Linked DNA regions of Macaca fascicularis. The protein of the gene in region 2 interacts with the protein of the main gene of each other region in a biochemical or structural test. Links are inferred from orthologs where the notes say so. Each region holds a gene or a part of one and is shown on either strand. Other genes may lie near its edges.

Evidence for each region.
Region 1: of the proteins of MID1 (region 2) and IGBP1, one has a biochemical effect on the other in vitro, tested with the Homo sapiens proteins (5 studies listed by BioGRID, with this or other methods). The link is inferred for Macaca fascicularis from reciprocal best matches to the Homo sapiens genes MID1 and IGBP1.

The regions. Positions count from the first base shown.
Region 1 is NC_088395.1:76,885,981-76,896,046, reverse strand, and holds the start of IGBP1 (immunoglobulin-binding protein 1), read right to left. Parts: upstream 4,396-10,066; 5' UTR 4,383-4,395; coding exon 4,195-4,382; intron 3,810-4,194; coding exon 3,516-3,809; intron 1-3,515. UniProt on the Homo sapiens protein: Associated to surface IgM-receptor; may be involved in signal transduction.
Region 2 is NC_088395.1:10,132,609-10,142,574, forward strand, and holds the end of MID1 (E3 ubiquitin-protein ligase Midline-1), read right to left. Parts: intron 9,422-9,966; coding exon 9,214-9,421; intron 3,700-9,213; coding exon 3,351-3,699; 3' UTR 2,353-3,350; downstream 1-2,352. UniProt on the Homo sapiens protein: Has E3 ubiquitin ligase activity towards IGBP1, promoting its monoubiquitination, which results in deprotection of the catalytic subunit of protein phosphatase PP2A, and its subsequent degradation by polyubiquitination.

The DNA of each region.
Region 1 (10,066 bases), about 67 Mb from region 2:
CTGGGACTACAGGACTGTGCCACCACACCTAATTTTTTATTTTTATTTTTTGGTAGAGACAGAGTCTTACTTTGTTGCCTAGGCTGTTCTTGAACTCCTGGGCTCAAGTAATCCTCCCGCCTCGGCCTCCCAAAGTGTTGGGATTACAGGCATGAGCCACCATGCTCAGCCTAATTTCTATTTTTAATCATCCTGTAAGACTCGTCTCAAATACCATTTATGTTCTTTTTTTTTTTTTTTTTGAGACAGAGTCTCATTCCATTACCCAGGCTGGAGTGCAATAGCGCGATCTCGGCTCACTGCAGCCTCTGCCTCCCGGGCTCAGGCGATTCTGCTGCCTCAGCCTCCCGAGTACCTGGGATTACAGGAGTGCATCACCACTCCCAGCTAATTTTTTTTTTTTTTTTTTTTTTCCAGAGACGGGGGTTTCACCATGTTGACCAGACTGGTCTTGAACTCCTGACCTCAAATGATCCACCTGCCTCAGCCTCCCAAAGTGCTGGGATTACAGGCGTGAGCCACCGTGCCTGGTGTCAAATGCCATTATGTTCTGAAACCTTTTCTTCATCCCTCCAACCAGATGTGACCACTCCCTCGTCTTTCTCTTGCAGGTTTTTTTTTTTTTTTTGTATAATTATTTGGATACCAAACTCACTGTTTAAACTACCTACTACCTGCTGACAGGCTGCCCCCAACTACTTACAAAGGACAGGATGTTAAATTCCATTTCATATCAGTCTAGCCCATATCCTCAGTCACTCACTATCCCCTAACTTTATTATTCCTCATAGTCCTTACCAGCTGAAATTTCATTATTTACTAGCTTATTGTTTTTCTCTCGCACCAGAATAAAAGCTCCATAGCAGCACTGACTTTATCTGGTTCTCTAACACCTAGAACAGCTCCTGGCACACAGGAAGGAATTAATAAATATTTTTGAATAAATGAGTCATCTTCAGCTCTCTAGACCAAGCCTCTCCTCTGAGCTTCAGACTAACAGATACCTCTACTTATCTCCTAGGCACCTTAAACTCAACATGTTTCAATACTAAATTCATACTCTCACCTTCCCCCATCTTCTCTTTTTCCTCTTTCCCCATCGCAATAAATTTCACAGCCATCCACCTAAATCAGAAACATGGACATCTTTCCTTGCTGCTTCCTTCTATCCCACCTTCCACAACCAATTGATCACCAGGTTTCCTGTAGATTCAACCCTCCTAAATATGTTCCCCCATCCCTCTACCATTGCAATAGTAAACCCCAGTCACCTTTGTGACTTAACTGGGTCTAATCTTTTCCCTCATTGTTTCCTAACTGCTGTTAGAGTGTACTAGTTAAAATACAAATGTGATCATGCTACTATTTGAAAAGAAACAGCCAGGGCGCAGCAGCTCACACCTGTAATCCCAGCACTTTGGGAGGCCGAGGCGGACCAGCCTGGCCAACATGGCAAAACCCCAGCTCTACTAAAAATACAAAAATTAGCCGGGCGTGGTGGCAGGTGCCTGTAATCCCAGCTACTCGAGAGGCTGAGGCAGGAGAATTGCTTGAACCCAGGAGGTGGAGATTGCAGTGAGCCGAGATCACACCACTGCACTCCAGCTTGGGTGACAAGAGCAAAACTCTGTATCAAAAAAAAAAGAAAAAAGAAACAGAACTCTTCAGTGGATCTCAGTCACCAACCAGAGTAAGCTCTTTGGCATGTCCTATCTGATAGCAGCTGATATTTACAGAATACTCACCATGTGCCAGATATTGGGCTGTTTTATGTGCTTTTTCCCATTTGTGCTTATTAACCCTGAGGTAGGTACACGTGTGTCTCAACTTAGAACGGGGCTACATCCCAATAAATCCATCATAAATTGAAAATATGGGAAGTTGAAAACACATTTAATACAGCTTATTGAACATCATAGCTTAGCCTAGTTTACCTTCAACATGTTCAGAACACTTATATTAGCGTACAGTTGGGCAAAATCATCTAACACAAGGCCTATTTTATAATAAAGTGTTGAATAACTCATGTAATTTATTGATGTTCCCCTGAATGTGTATTGCTTCTGCACCAATATAAAGTCAAAAAATTCTAAGACAAGCCATCGCAAATCGGGGACCACCTGTACCATTATTATTTAGATTTCACATATGAGGAAAGCTGAGGCTCAGTTAGGTTAAATAACTTCTCCAAAGTCCAACAAATTATAAGTAAAGCTGGGTCTCAAACCCAGGTCTCTCACTCTACGACCCATACTCTTAGCCGCAAATAATAATAGTTGACTTTGAGTGTTTACTGTGTCAAACATTGTGCTAACTGCTTTATATATATATTTGTCTTTTAATCCTCAAAAACCACTTTATAAGGAAGGACCTATTATCTGAATTTTGCAGCTGGGGAAATTCAGGTACTGAAAGATTAAATAATTTGCCAAAAATCAGTGACTAATCACAGCGGTCGAGCTGGGATTCAAACACCTTATCAAGTTCTCAGCAACAAGTTTCTCTTCACGTTCCTCACATCCCAGGCTCTCCTTGATGTGGACCCTACAACATTCTTCAGTATCATTCCTTCCCCCTTACCACCACCCTCTTTGTGTTCTACCATCACCTAATTGCCTATAGCTGTTGTTTTCGTCCTACACATCTCCACCCATCACTGTTTCTTTAATGCCTCTATGGCTTTACTAAGGCTATTACATACTCTGCTGGCTAATGCCCTCCTCTCCTCTTCCTCTGGATATTCCTATTTACCCTTAAAGAACTCAGCACAGAAGTCACCTCTTCCAGGGAGCTTTCTCCTCTCTCCTGCTCCCTTTGGTTAGGTGCCCCTCCCGTCTGCTCTCATAGTACCTTGTACAACCCTCCATAACATCAGTTTATATTGATATTCTGTTTCTATGCCCGTTTTCCTCACCAGATTGTATGCTCCTCCAAGGCACGGACAACTCATACTCACACAAACACCTATATACTTTGTATCCCCAGTGCCTAGCATAGTTCCTAGACAGCATGACCACCCATTAAATGTTGTTTAAAAAACAAACAACAAAAAAACCTAAGAAAGTAAGCAACTTTTCCAAGATCACACGATGAAGCTGTGCCAGGACTAAGATGAGTTCAGGATGTTACACATCTACTCCAGCAGTCTGAACAGAGCTCCTCAATCAGTGGACCATAAAATGGCCTAGCTTTGTCTTCCAGAGACATCTACCCCACTGTACCATGTGAACATTGCTATGATGTGATGTGGAAAAGGTTGGGAGACACTCTGCTAAACTACATTGCTGCTGTTGGCAACCATAAGGTCGTCGGGGTCTGACAGGTAAGTATAATCATCTCAACAAAAGCAGAGGCTTCTTGAAAAACTCAGGAAAGTTTGCTCTCCCCAGGGCCTATGCTCAATAAGAACCAAGAAAGTGACACACACCATTCTGGCCCCCCACCAACCGCCAAGAAAGCATGCCCCCGAAAAGCACTGCCATTGGGCAGCCCTCATATTATAGCTATTGACCCACCTCTCTATTTTAGCCTGTCTTTGAGATGCCATAGCAACGAGGCTAGGATAAGCCATGGAAGAATTGGCAGTGTGATTTTCAGCTGAGTTGTTCTTGGTTTTGGGCAGCTCAAACTCTGCCACATGATAGCAATGGCACTGAGTTAAGTAGTTCATAAAGTGTTCTCGAGCCCGCTGCAAATGATCTAGACGCTTGCTGGGGTTGACTTGTTTCATGGTGAGGGCTCCTTGAAACGCTGGCACCAACAGGTACTTCAGGTCGGTGGAAGCAATCTCTTCCAAATCTTCATTTCGGCTGGAAGAGCAAAAAGGAGGCAGTGAAGCCTGGCTAGGCATTCAAATTGTGGCCTTGGCTCCTGGGGGACGGAGTGGGAGGCTGGGCTGGGAGTGGAGCAGAGGGAGGAGGCACGGGTAACAGCGCCCAGTTTCACTCAATGAAAGTGGCTGAGCGCTCACATCCAGTGCCTTGCAATCAGCAGACACTAGGGAGCAGAGTCGTGGGATATCAACCATCTGGGAAGAGAGGTGGGGAATGTAAACAATGTACACAAGATCGCAGTGGTAAGTAGGAACGAAAGGTTCTCACTACTAAAGGTCCCCTCCACTCAGACGCAATGGCTCCACCCTTGGTAACCATTATTACCTTCGTTCTCAGCCATTATTACTATCTTCCCCCCTACCTGAACAAGTCGAGCTGCGATAACATTTCGGCAGCCTTCTCAAGGAGGTCCAGGCCCTTGAACACCTTCTCCTGGACTATCCGGGAACCGGCAGGTTCAGTCGCTACTTCTACTTCGTCCAGTAACTGTTTGCCCGTTTCGAACAGCTCGGGGAGCCGCGGCAGCAGTAACTCGTCCTCAGCAGCCATCTTGGGGAGAGAGGAACCCGGAAGATCTCTTTCCCGGGGTCAAAGGCAACCTTGATAAAGAAGAACTGGGCGACCGCGGACAAAACCGGAAGAGGCAGCTCATTGGTCCAGTAGCCTCACTGTTACCAAAGCATCAAAGGACTTCCGGGAGCCGCCGTTCGCCGGCCCTGGCAACCGTTTCCATAGACTCATTTTATGAGGCAGCCTATTACAAGTCGTAGGCATCTGTTAAAAACAAACAAACAAACGAAACCCTAGGCGCTGTTTTACCATGAGCTCCTCGTCGCTGACACGGGGCTGAGAAGTTCTGTGGGCTCTGAAGCCCGGGTGTGGCGAGGCTGAATTCGGAGGGCCAGGAGTGCGGACGAGCGAGTGCGCTTTAGGAGCCGGTCAGGCGCGCCTCTTACCTCGCGAGTAGCTCCCTCGATTGAGGAGTCCAGGGACTCCAGCCGCCGCACCACTCCCACGGTTTGAAGATCCCGTCGCTTGAGCGCGAAGTGCAAGTAGCGCCCCCCTGCGGCTTCCGTCCACCCACCAGCTGGAGCTCCGGGTTCCTCCCGGCCAATCCTCTCCCGTCCTCTTCCCCCTTCACACCACACATGCCTACGATCCGGGGTCCAGTGGAGCCCCCCTCAGCAAGATTGGTAACCTGCAACTTCGGTCACCGCACAGCCGGCTTCCCTTCGTGCACTTAGTTCCTATGTCAAATGTTATTTCTGTGCAACCTTCCTTGTCTCCCCACCGCCTTCCATCCTGTGCCCTTCAGCCACCAAGTCTGGGTTTCTTCTCTGCATCTCTATCATGGCACCTACCACACTGTATAATTGCTAGTGACTTACAAATGTCTCTTATCGCAATGAATTTGACTCATCTTTGCACCACTCTGGCTAGCCTGAGTACTCAGTATCAGTCATTATCTGAATTAAAAAAAAAAAGTGATCAGTTTGGAAAGCAGCCCAGTTATGCAGAACTGCATTGTTCAGTAGGTAGTTACTAGCTGCTTGTGGCTACTAAGCACCTGAAAGTGGCTATTTGGAATCGAGGTGTGTTGCAAGTGTAAAAAAACCCCAGATTTCAAAGACATTAAAAAAAAAAAAGAATGAAAAATGTCAATACTTTTTACAGGGACTACATGTTGAAATGATAGTCTTTTGGATATATTGGATTAAATATATTATTAGAATTAATTGTACTTGTTTATTTTCACTTTGTAAATGTGCCTGCCAGATAATTTAAAACTATATTTGTAGCTCCCGTTATATTTCTACTGGACAGAACTGATGAAAAATATAATTTCAGGACTTCAAAGAAGGGACATCATTGTTTTGAACAAAGCAGTATAAATACATACTGATTACCTTAGGACGCAGCCTGAATTGTCCTAGGAGATTTAAGTAGCAGGCACACTGTCTAACCCTGAATATAAACTTTTAAACTAGTATTTTAAACTACATATAGTTGAGAAGAGAAAAGCTTCATTAAAAAACAACTAGAGGGCAATATAGGACAGTATAAAATAGGTGATACGTTGTACTGCACAGGCTGTTGGAAAACCAAGAAAGGGCAAGTCTTGGTTCTATGCTAGGAGTAGTTCAGAAGGCTTCTTAGACATGACATGCAGTCACATAGAAGAATGTCAAAGTTTAAAGGGAACCCCCAAAATCGGAGGAAAAACTTGAGACCAGAAAGGTTAAGGGACTTGCCCAGCCAGTTTGTGACAAAGTCAGTGACTTCTGAGTTCAGTTGTTTCTACTCCATTAGCCTTCAGTTGGGTAGGATTTAGAAAGATGAAGACCTTTAATGTGGGACAGATTGAAGCCCCAAACTAGAACAGTGCTTCCTAAGAGGGAGAGGAGACTGTGGCACACATGCAGGTTGAAAAAGCTTCCCAGGTGATTCTAATAAACCTTCCCTTGCAACCCCTGCTTTATAAACTAAGAAGGAAGTGAGACTTTGGCGAATTACCTATTTGGTTTATCTGGCACCTCTAGTAACTCTAGTAAACTGACCTTTCAGGGTCAGGCTCAGCAGGGAATATAAAGAAGAAAAAGATAGTATTTGTGGAGGAAACTTAGAAATGTAGTAATTGTGAGAGTAAAGATAATTTGCTTCTCTGCATTTGCTTGGATTAAAACATGCCTTTACTGTTACTTAAGAGGAAAAAAATATGCAGAATCTTAATTTGGTCTTAAGCTTTGTAAGCCATTTTTTCTATGGCTTTCAAAATTAGTCTTTTTTTTTTTTTTTTTTTTTTTTGAGACAGGGTCTCTCTCTGCCACCCAGGCTGGAGTGCTGGAGTGCAATGGCACGATCTCGGGTCATTGCAAACTCTGCCTCCTGGACTCAAGTGATCCTCTCCCCTCAAGCCCCCCAAGTAGCTGGGATTACAGGTGCAAGCCCCCACTCCTGGCTAATTTTTGTATTTTTTTGTAGAGGCGGGGTTTCACCATGTTGCCCAGGCTGGTCTCAAACTCCTGAGGTCAAGCGATCCACCCGCTTCACTGTCCCAAAGTGTTGGGATTACAGACGTGATTCACTGTGCCCAACCAAAATGACAGTCTTTATGGGGGATGCCAATTACTTTTAGAGTACCTGTTATAATATTAGAATTGTCATTTTAAGCATAGCATTTCATCTTATTTTGAAAGAATACCAAGATTAAAAAGTGGTTAGAAGAAAAGGAATAATGGCCGGGCGTGGTGGCTCCTGCCTGTAATCCCAGCACTTTGGGAGGCCGAGGTGGGCAACTCACCTGAGGTCAGGAGTTCGAGACCAGCCTAGCCAACATGGTGAAACACCGTCTCTACTAAGCATACAAAAGTTAGCTGGGCTTGGTGGCACTGGCCTGTAATCCCAGCTACTCAGGAGGCTGAGACAGGAGAATCGCTTGAACCCGGGAGGCGGAGGCTGCAGTGAGCCGAGATCGCACCACTGCACTCCAGCCTGGGCGACAGAGTGAGACTCTGTCTCAAAAAAAAAAAAAAAAAAAAAAAAAAAAGAAAAAGAAAAAAAGGAATAATAAAAACGAGTCATTTGCTGTGTTTTGTGTGTAAACACTTTATCACATTAAACTCCTATTGTGCATGGGAGATTTTTTAACATCCTAGTTTAGGGCACTTAGCAATCATGAAAGTATAATGGTACTTAAACTTTTTGTAGTAGCATAATTCTTTTTCCAAAACAAGTTTTAAAGAACCTACAATTTCTAAAAGGACTGATGTATTTGAAGAGGATACAAAGAAGTCTGCCAACTCAGCCACTGGCCCATCTTCCTCAACCTGCTCAGTGAGTGGCACTCCAGGTGAGGGACTCCAGGGCTCTAAGTAACACAATATGAAAAGCACTAATCTGGCCAGGTGCGGTGGCTCACGCCTGCAATCCCAGCACTTTGGGAGGCTGAGGTGGGAGGATCCCTTTAGCCCAACTCTGTTACTGAATAGCTGTGTGACTTTGGAGAAATTCCTTCCTTTACTCTTTCCATATGTGCTGTGTGCTACCTGAATGCTAGGCATTGAGAATTCGAACACCACCCAAGGTTTAAGCTCTTAAGGGGTCCATAGTTCCATGGAAAAGACAGGTAAACAAATAATCAAATAGTAATTTGATAAATATTTTGATAAAGGTGTGTTCAAGGTGTTAGAAGAATGGAGAGAATAACTTTGGCCCGGAGGGGCATTCTGTTAAGGTCAAACTCAATAATATGACTTCAAGATCCTTTCCGATCTGCCTGCTGACATCCTTTTCATTTTGTTCCTTCATGGATCCTAAGCTGAACCTTTAGCCAACTCTCCTAGTTCTCCAAACCTATCATGTTCTCTTAGGCCTTCATGCATTCACATAGGTGGTACCTTCTGCCTGGAATGTCATCTTCCTTGTCTGTGCCTGGCAAATTTCTATTCATTACTCATAACTTGGCTCAAAGATCACTTCCTCTGGGAAGCACTTCCTGGTTTTCCCCCGTAGGCGAGGCTGCCTCCTTCTTAGCTCTTACAGCATTTGATTCATCCCCCTGTGATAGTACTGTACTGTGGTTATCTTTATCCACACCTGTCTCTCACTAAACTGAGCGCTCTTCGAGGCCAGGCAGAGTGTCTTACTCATCTTTGTTCACTCTAGCACAGAACCTGCCACCCATTAGGTAGGAGAGACTCAATGTTAAATGAATAACTTTGTATCATAGTAATACCCAACCTTCTCTGAGTGCTCACATCCTGCCAAGTGACTATGCTAAGTACTTTACATGTGAAGGAGTTCAGGAGATGCCACCCCAAAATATGCCACTTTGGTATGCTGATTATTTGAACCAAGGGCACTTGGGAAACAGTGGATACAGGCAGAGGCTGTCTCTGAGATCCCCTTATCTGCCTAAAGCTGTCTCCTCCAAAAGGAACGTAATTGTCATGAATACCCTCTCTGGGAATCTTCCCAACCAGGGAAGATTAACTTGGATCACAGGAGAGGAGATCGGAGGCTGACAGCACACCCAGACAATCACCTATTCTTCTGAGGGCTGCTTTGAGACAACTTTTATTACCTGAAAGACTTTTTATCTGCATAACAAGACAACCTCTGTTACCACACATTTCCTTCCCTTGCTCTCCCATAACTCTTGTATTGCCACCAGCCCCCAGGAAGCCCCAAGCCCCTATTCCTTTCTGTAGTTCAGGATGCTGTTTAAGCTTCAATTGAAACAATCCCTATAAACTTCATAAAATTAATCAGGGAAGAAGGGAGGGAGAGAGAAAAAATAAACCAAGCTCGCAGCAAATTCAGCATGAATCATGAGGTCAGCTTGCCCTCTGACTCGCTTCCTTCCTCATAGTTTGCTGCCTACTGCTTCAAAATCATGTAGACCCTGTTACAAGATTATAGTTCCCCTTAATTGTTCTATATCTCATTGCCTATTCTTCTGTAAGCAGCCACATGGCACTTTTTATTGTAGCCATCCTCATCCAAATACCCTGAAGTTTTATAGGTGCAGTTGTCCTAAAAATTGCCCGTGGACTCACATCATCTATACTGTTTTGCCTTGCAAACTCAAATTATGAACGAATCCATAGTTGAACAATACTATTAGCCTGATGATAGCAGCAGGAGGCAGACAAATCCCTAGGCAGACAGGGGCGGGTCCTCTGTGAAACCTGACCTTCAAACCAAAGACAGTTTAAAGTCTGAAAACCAAGCTACAAGTCTCAATAAATCCACAGACCGGATTGAGAACCTCTCTTCCTGTTTGGCGTGCTTTCCTCTGATTGATCCCCACCCTTCACCTATTTTACACATACCTACCCTTCCCTAATTGGTTTTTTACACTGTTGTGCCCATCTTTGAGTGGTGTCTTTTTTTAGCCTTTTTTGCACACTCATAAACTAATCAGCACACGCTTCCCCATTCTGAGTCCATAAAAGCCCTGGACTCATTCACACTTTGGGACTACCTGCCTTCAGGTTGTGGGGAGCCTACCTGACTTTGGGTAAAAGGGCTGCCCAACTTGGGTCCCCTCTCCACTGAGAGCTGTTTCATCACTCAGTTTGCCTTGCTCACCCACTGGCTGACAGCATAACCTCATTCTTCTTGGATGTGGGACAAGAACTTGGGACACCCGAATGGTGTGTGTGAACAGAACTGTAACCCTGTAGCACTCCCCTCCGGCTTGCTGAGCAAGCAGGAGAGGGAGCTGCTGG
Region 2 (9,966 bases):
ATTAACAGAAAACCACCTATCAAGTTTCTACACTGCAGCACTGTTGATATTTGAGCAAGACAACTCTTTGTGGTTGGAGGCTGCACTTGCACTGTAGGATGTTTAATGGCGTCCATGACCTCTACGCACTAGATGCTGGTAGCTTCCCTTCCCCGGCGGCGACAACCAAAAGTTGCCATTGCATTGCCAAATGTCTCCTGGGGGGCAAAATCGAGCCCTGGTTGAGAAGCGCTGTTCTCAAAAACATCCTCCTGCCCCCATCATTGTCTTTGTGTGCTTTTTACCATTTTATTAAGGTAGACCAGATGGTCAACTTCCCAACACCAAATGCACATGTATGCCAGCATATATGCGTGTCTCTTTGCAGGTATCTGCATGTTCCTGGAGCTGAGATGGAATTCCACGGTCACTGGAAGACATTAGTTCAGTTCCTCAGCAAGTTTAAGGTCAATATATCAGTACCGTAATAAAAAAGCCTGTCTGTATTCAAGCTGTTTCTTTTCCTCCAGCAGAAACCATCGTCAATATTTGCAGTCAATTTTTGAAGTCACTTTCTTTTAAAGCTGGAAAGAATCCACCCTCATCTTAATCCACTATTTAGAGTCCTACTTGAATGATATTGCCAGCAACTTTCAACTTTGGATCCAGATTTCTTTATTTGTATCCACCAGGAAGAGAGGTACCACATTTCTGAGTTCTTTTATGAGCACTCGCTACATAATTTGCAAGGCCCAGTGCAAAGTGAAAATGCAGGCCCCTTGTTCAAAAATCATTAAGAATTTCAAGACAGCAACAGCAGAGCATTAAATCAAGCTTAGGGCCCTTCTGAACTCCTGGGCTCTGGGCATACCCATGACACCAGACCTAGCAGTCTTGGTTGGTGCTGCATTGATTTTGTTGTATTAATTTAATTGGCACTGCCATCTCTTTTGCCCCTGTATCGCAGTGTTTCCTGTGGTGAGGACCTCAAATAATAAAATACTGTGACCTCAATTAGTTTAAAGAGAATGCAAAATTACACTGCAGCAAATTTTTACAGCATACATATTTTAGACTTTCAAAAAAAAATCACATGGGAATCTTTTCTACATCATTATAGTAATTAAACATGGTGGCCTTTCACCATATACATATTTTCCTGTAAATACGACAACCTGGAACTAGTAACTGCTACTATCCACAATGCTTTTAAGTTAGCCAAGAGTGAGACTTCCACAACAAAATTATGACATAATCTCTCATGTCCTTATAAAAATAGCCAAAACATACCCTAAATGGCTTACTGTGAAAATTTGAGTAGTAACTTCTTAATATTGAAAAACATTATTTTCATGGAAATATTGTCCTTCTACTAACTATTTTATGTTAACATCATAAGGCAAACTGTAGCATTTATTGGTACCTGGAGACCATGATTTTAAAAACTCAGAAGCTGAGTTTTAGACCCTTTTATTTAGAACCTGTTAGTGTACAAAGTGCATTAAAATATCCATTATCCAGTTACCCAAAATGTATGTAAAAATTACTGAGACAACCCTTTCAGTTTATTCAGAGAAGGCAAACACACATTGCTTTTATATTGTAATAAAAAGAAAAACCCATAAGGTTTCCAGAGAAAGATTTTTTTTTCCATTGAGGTGTCCATCTTTTAGATGTGAAATTGTCTTAGGTATCTATCAAAATATTCATCTGGGTATAAATAATATAGTAAATATATAGAATCTATCTGTTAAGAAAAAGGAGAGTGTCTGCTAGGGAAGAGGATGGAAGGACCTCATTGATTTATTTCAGGGAGGCAGTTGGTTGATTTGGTTAAAAACAAAATAACTAAAAACAATGTCTAAATCCACTAGTCTGTTCAGTAAAAATGGCTGACCCAGTATCCCAGGTAAATATTTTAGCAATTGAAACCATTTATAGAGGTCACGCCCTTCATCAAAGTAGAACCAATGCCAGAGTTCTGGTCCAAGAACTGCTCAAGAAAGCCTTAATTCATGGACCATTCCAACGCATCAGATTGGCATGCAAAGAATGCCAACTGACATTTTATAAGCAGGTTCCTGAATAACGAGTTTGAATTTTTTTTTTTTTTTTGGTCTTACAACTCTATTGTAAACTATACTAGACTATAGAGGGACTTCTACATATTTCAAGATGTGTTTAATAAAGGTCTGTTTATAATAACTTTTGAGGCATGTATCTAGTAAATAGTACTTTATGCAATGTCCCTTGTCATTACCAACTCATAAATATTAAGTGTTTTTCAGTGACTTATGTTTGGATGTGGTAGTGGTGATCAGGGCCATGTGCTGATGTCCTGGAGAGCAAAATCAATCCAAAGTGGTGCTGCTATTTGTGACAGAACATGTTTATTTACTCAGCCCCAGAGACAAAAGGAAAATTGATATGGGGGAGGGGGAAATAGGATAACTATTAAACGTAGTGAAGAGATTTCACAGGTCTAAAGAAACTATTAAAAGGAAGGATAAAGTAGATTTTATACCATAAAACAGAATCCTACCTCCGAAAAAGACAAATCAGCCTGAAGTTTTGAATAATCAATAGGATTCAAAATGACTATTTTCAATTGCAATCTCATTCTTAATGTTCTTCCAGAACCCTTAACCCTGAGAGAAGCAGGGCAAAATGCGGCCAAAGGATTCAGAACCTTTCTTTCCAACATTATCTCATCAGCTATCAGAGGGTAAAGATTTAGCCGCGGCAAGGTCCAAGGTCCAAAATCAATTCTTTTCATTCTCTGTCTTGCTCTCCATTTTAGTTGATCTGATACAAGTTTTTGACACCACAATTAAAACACTTCATATTAAACCAGAGTAAGAAAGCCTGTTTACTCCCCTACTAGGTTCAGACACTTCCTGTTATGCACCATCGAGGTGAGAAGACTTATCATGGGATCATTATGAGATGTTAGGTGAGAAGATGAATAAACATACAAAATTACAAAAGTTTTTTTTTGTTTGTTTGTTTTTTTGCAAGCCCATAGATTGTGATGAAATACAGGTTGTAAATAGCTGATAAACTTATGGGCCTCTTAATGTGCAAAACCAAGTAATTCCTAAAAGTTGTAATCCCGATTATGTTTCTCTTATAAATAATCTATAGATTTTCCTCTAAATACAAAAAAAAATTAAAGAAATTATTAAAGCCCGTACTTAATACAAGACACAGTAAAAGGAGAGGAATCTCCTGTTTTGAGCCCTATCTGAGCCGATTTCTGGACACTTTTGGTGAGATTTCATTACACTCATGAAGCCTGTGCTTTCTCAGTCTCCTAAATAGTGGCCTGAACCTTTTTGTTCCCCAGAAAGCTCCTCCATGTGGCCAGACGCTCACGGCAGCTGCTCTGTGCAGTCCAAATGGTCTGGGATAGGAAGCCCAGTGATAATCGTCAGACACTTGTTCCACACGGTGAAGGTGGGGCACACAGGCTGCGCAAATGCGACGTCGAAGGTGTAGAGGTGGATGGAGTTCAAAGCATCATAAAAGGCGATAGAGCCGTTATCATAGTCCAGCAGGATGCCCACGCGCCGGAGGTGGGGAGCAGGCTCAATGGGGATTTCCTTGCTATTGTGTCTCACCACCCAGTTATTGTTGCAGCGGCAGAGCGCCCAGGAAGCAGAGTTCTTCCCAATCCATTCATGCTTCGGGGCTGATTTATAAGCAAGACCAATAGCATACCTGCAGAAACAAAACAGCAACAACAAAAACAATGAGCCATGTTGCATATGCACATTAAATCCGTTCTGTGGTCCTCAGGGGTTATAAAAACATGATCATTTGTTGTCCCTGTTCATTTTCTTTAAGTGAAAGCTTGGCAAGAACCCCAACATCTGTGTTCCTCATCTCCTTCCCTCACAAACAGGGAAAGAAGCATCATATTTACCCACATTTCTGTTTTCAGCTCAAACACTACAGAGAATTTGAACTTTGTATTTTGCTGCTTTTTTTCACTTTTATAAAAATCTACACAATGAATTCGCTAGACCAGTGCTGACCAAAAGAACTTTCTTCAATGATTGAAATGTCCTGCTCTCCTCGATGTGGTAACCACAAGCTACATATGGCTACCGGGCACTTTAGCTGCAGCTGGTGAGACTGAGGAACTGAACTTTAAATTTATTTAATTTTCATTAAGTTAAATGATTTAAATAGCTGCATGTGGCTCATAGCTACCATATTGGACAGCACAACCCTAGACTTCTCCTTTTGACCTTCTTATAATTTTTAATTTAACACTATGTCTGTCATTTTCTGATTCTGAAAGCATTTTGCCAAGGGCAAGCACAGAAGATGATTTCCATTTGTGGGGATAAGTCCTTTGTCATTACTCAGCCCCAGTTTTCTCATGTATACCACAGGGACAACGATAGTCTCCATCTTGCAGTGTGTGATTTTAAGGAGTAAAGGAGAGAATACGTGTTAAGTCCTAGGCACAGGACCTGGCATGCAATATTTAGTAACTGCTATTTTATTATTATTGCCTGATGGCACATATTAACAATAAGTACCAGAATCAGAATTTGAACTTAGGATGACTCAAAACCCACAAACACGAACTACATTCTACAATGCCAACCATAACCAGAAATTGTGCAGTCCATCACTGCCAAGAGCCTTTCTGATTATATTTCCTACTACACCGAAAAAAAATTCTGAATGTGTTTGAGCAGACGATCTTCTGGTTATTCTAAATGTTCTCTTGCTGCTCAAAAAAAAAAAAAAAAAAAAAAAAAAAAAAAATCCAAAGAATGCTTTCTACAATGTTTGTTCTAAGCTTCTTAGTCTCTTTTTACCCCTCTGAAGCATGCCTCTGTAATATTCATAGTATTTCAGTTATTAAGATAAACAAAACCCATCACTCTTAATAAACAGTAAATGACTCACAGGTGAACTTTTAATATGTTATAGCAGAAACCAGCCTAACTGGATATTAACACATGGTATCTTACCCAATGCAGAGAGAAAAATTTCATGGATCTTTAATAAAATGACATTCTTTAAAAAAATCACACTGGACTTAAAATACAATCACTTTAGGAGTGGTGTGTTTAAAAAGAAAATTAATACACCATGCCATCATTAAATCCAAAAGGAGGATGGAATTGATAATCTGCCAAGCCCAGTGTGCAGGCCTGTCTGTCATCAGTGTTGCATCTTCTCTTCCCTCCCATCCATCCTCTCCTGCTTATGAGGAGAATCCAAGTTGCATTTCCCAGAATCCCCTTTCCTGTAGGAGTCTGAGTCAGGCTCTGCTATTGTGATGCCTTTGCACAAGATCCAGAAGTGCTTAGAGGAGGGGAAACACTCTTTCCTGATGGCAGACAGTAGATGTGCAGTTGGTGGAAGCTTCTAGATGAGCACCTGAGTACACCTGCCTTGTGCTGTGGGCAATTTTGCAGCAGCTACAGCTCATCATGACTCCACGAACTAGAGCAGCAGACTCCCGGACTTTGTGCCCCAGCCCTTCCAGGGTCCTGTAAGCTTCTGGGTCCCTTCCTCTGGGGAGTGCATCAAGGGTCTCAAATGTCATCTGTTTATTTGATACATTGATATGGTTTGGCTATGTCCCCACTCAAATCTCATCTTGAATTCCCACATGTTGTGGGAGGGACCCGGTGGGAGGAAACTGAATCATGGGGGCAGGTCCTTTCAGTGTTCTTGTGATAGTGAATAAGTCTCACGAGATCTGATGGTTTTAAAAAGGGGGAGTTTCCCTGCACAAGTTCTCTTTTTGCCTGCTGCCATCCATGTAAGACGTGGCTTGTTCCTCCTTGCCTTCTGCCATGATTGTGGGCTTTCCCAGCCACATGGAACTGTTAAGTCCATTATAAATCTCTTTTGTAAATTGCCCTATCTTGGTTATATCTTTATCAGCAGCATGAAAATGGACTAATACATACACTTTGGAAAGGTTTTCATTTTGCAATTGTCAGTATCTCCCACTCCCTAAAATGTTCTGTATACCCCAGTAAATACCATTTTCATCTTTCAGATAATTTGGAACCTGCATTTGCATCACAAAATCACCACATCTGTATTGTTTCCTTCTTGTTGTGACACAGCATTTTTATTTTTTATTACTTTGATGTTTATTTCCCATTTGAACCTTAACTGAACCCTATGAAATAGCTGTGGCAGGTATGGCTGACTACATGTAGCAAATAGAAACAGAATATTAAAATTGGGAGCAAAATCCAGAGTTGTATGCTGCCCCCACCCCTTCTGGTCTAATAATCTTTGCATGAATCCGTTATTACTCGTTTAGTTAACACCATTTCATAAAACACCAAGTGCACGGCCGGGCGCGGTGGCTCAAGCCTGTAATCCCAGCACTTTGGGAGGCCGAGACGGGCGGATCACGAGGTCAGGAGATCGAGACCATCCTGGCTAACCCGGTGAAACCCCGTCTCTAGTAAAAAATACAAAAAAAAAAATAGCCGGGCGAGGTGGCGGACTACTCCCTGTAGTCCCAGCTACTCGGGAGGCTGAGGCAGGAGAATGGCGTAAACCCGGGAGGCGGAGCTTGCAGTGAGCTGAGATCCGGCCACTGCACTCCAGTCTCGGCGACAGAGCAAGACTCCGTCTCAAAAAAACAAACAAACAAAACAAAACAAAACAAAAAAAACACCAAGTGCACATTAGCATCAGAGAGTAAGAAAATAACTAAGTGTATAGTCCATTAAGCAAAGGAAAATACCATTATAGTATCATTAATCTGTGAAACTAGGTACATATTTCCATTGAGCTTGAAAGGTGTAGGCAGAATGTAATGTTCCATTAAGTTATGCAGTGAGACACGGAGAATTCAAAGTATAAAAATTATGTCTCTCAGGGCAATGTTAACATGCCCCATTGCACAGATCATAATGTACACATTAATTTAAAGTCAGGACTATATTTGACAAGCAAATATATGTCATTAGCTGTTGCAAATCAAGATGTCACAGGCATTTAATTGTAGGGGGCACCCCTTCCTTGCTAATACCCCCCAGGAAATGTAAAGTGACTTTCTACATGAAGATTTTTCTGAAATTGACACAGTTAAGTTTGTAAAGATTAATTGTGTAGCAATTAATTTTAGAATTTCTTTTCCCCCTTATGAGTTAGTTTTGACATCTGGAGGGTGTTTTCAAGGTAATGCTGATCTGTGTTTATATAACTGAAGTGGTCTGATGGAATTTTGCAAACTATTCATCAATGGCAATGAGATCATAATGATCAGGTTTCATTTATCATAAATAATTATTAATAGAGTAATAATCATTTAGACCCTGGATTCTATCCCAGATTAATACAGCATATTAATTAGCTAGAAACATTTGCTTTTTTGTACCTGCATTCATTGTGTTTTCCTTTGTGCTTTAATTTTGCCCCATCACAGCTAAAAATGGCAAATGCCTATCTAGCCCAGAGCCTAGTGGGATGAAGGATTTGTCCTCCATCCTCTGGCAGGATGTTGGAACAGAAAAATCTTCTAGGCAAAGAGAATTATGAGGATAACAACAAAGGAAAACCTACTCGCTCAGCCAATATAGTATGTACCATTATTGGGAGAGATGGGAAGCTTACAATTCACTTCTTAGATTTTTGGCTAATTTCTACCTACAATACAAGGGATTCAGACATGTCACATTATTTGCATAGGTTTGAATTGAACGTTTTTTAAATATATAAATAAGAAGTGTTTTATCATGCTTATATTGAAACAGTTATACTCACCATCTTCAGGCTATGCAATTTTGAATATTGATTTTATTTTTTAAAGCAAGGATTTAGCTATCACTCATTAAGTACACTATTGTAAGCCCTAGAGAGTAATTATAGCATTTCAAAAATATACCACCCTTTTGTGAATAGCAGCATAGCATGGTGGTTAAGAGCAGGGAACAGCAAACTACTACCCAGGGGCGAACTCTGGCCCTCTGCCTGTTTTTATAAATGAAGTTTTATTGGAATGCAGCCATGTCCATTTGTGTAGGTGTTGTCTGTGGCTGCTTTCCCACTAAAACAGAAGAGTCGAGTATTAGTGACAAAAATCATTTGGTGTGCAAAACCAGAAATATTGAATCTCTGGCCCTTTACAGATAATGTTTGTGGACTGCTGGTTAAGAGCCTGACCCTTGACTGCAGACTTGCTGACTCTGCCACCTGTGAGCTTTGTAACCCTGTGATCTTCAGCATATACCTCAGTCACCTCATCAGTAAAGTGGATAATATTAGCACCTACCTTTGTAGGGCTGTAAGCCTGAATAAATGAGTTGACATCTGTAAAATGCTTAGACCAGTGCCTGGCACATACTTGTACCATATGAGGGCTTATTAAATAAAAATAAAATAGCTCCCTTTTTGATCAATAGCAAGCAGGCATTTGTGAGACAGACGGTCAAAGTAAGGGGTGCAGTTTGTGGCTGTGGATTAGGCAAGGTTAACTTTGTGAGGTTAACTAATTCCAGTGTAATTGTGTCCTGACCTTTGCCCTTATTCTTAGAGAACTCAGTGGGCTAAAGTTACTGGGCTGGATCTAACAGGCCTTTTGAAATTATTCCCAGCCTATGATCACTGCTTCACCCCCACCATTCAGCCCTCAGCTATTTGCACTAATTGGTCCAGTCTAGAATCATAAAACATACAAGGCAACAGAAATTAGTTTTGTATAATGATGAAGAGTGATGTTTTAAAGTAGGGAATTGCAAACTTTTTCTTGAAAGGACCAGGAAGTAAATATTTTTGGCTTCATAGACCATATGATTCTCTCTTAACTACTCGATTCTGCTGTTGTGGCTGAAAGGCAGCCATAGACTACATGTAAAAAAATGGACCTGGCTGTATTCCCATAAAACTTTATTTACAAAACCAGGTAGCAGGCCAGGTTTGGCTCATGGGCTGTGGTTTGCTGACCCATGTTTTATGGCATAAAAGAGCAGTGTTAGCATGGTATAGCTCTTCCAATGACCAGAGCTCTATAATCTTGAACAGAGAACCCACAGATGTGGGTATTAGTAATATATGGTCATTGTTTGAATTTGCTGAGTTTGGGGGTGTTTGTTATGCAGCATTACCTAGCAATAGCTGACTAATACAACTTTTCTGCACTTTATTCTTTAAGATGCATTTCAGTATGGGTTGACTCTCTAAGTACAGAATGAGATGTGCCTTTTTATAACTGCAGGACAATGAATATAAGTTGCCTACCATGTGCTTCCACTTATGACCACTTCCCAATAATGCCGGCCACTATCAATAAACACATTTCCAGCTACTCCATAGCTCCCCTGGCTGGTGAAGCGTTCAGGCGTGTGACTCTTCTTGGATGATGATTCATCACGTTCTACTGTCAAGTTGTCATGGGACACCTTCAGTTTTCGATGAGCAGATTTGGGATCCAGTTTAAATGGTTGGCCTGAAAACAAGTTCACAAAACAGAAAAAGGAAGAGGAAGAGGATTGTTTATTTTATTATAACCAATAGCATATTTTCAAAATCAGATTTAAAAGACAGGAACAAGTCAGCCCTCCCTGAGACATGCCTCCTATCACAAAGTGGTATCTTATATTTTAATAGTAATTTAAACGTTATAAGCAACTTTCAAAGACATTTGCTTGCAAAGTTTTCATAATATTCAAAAGACAATAGAGAGCAGAAACTCTGTGTAAAGTATAGTACACAATAAGAGTGAATAAGAACATGTGCCTGCCTTCATAAGCTTTCAGTCTACAAGTTCTAATATAGGGATCCAGTGGTGGTATGCCAACTATTCAACAACAGCATGGACAAGGCTTAGCTAGAACACATAGTGTGAGCTAGCTTCATGGATTCCAGGTGTACACAACCAGCACAGGTACATACCGGCTGGATAGCATCCTAAAAAGGAGGAATGAATGAAGACTCCATTTTCAACCACTGCAGTGTTCTATCCAGCATAAGATGCATTCATGCTCAATAGAC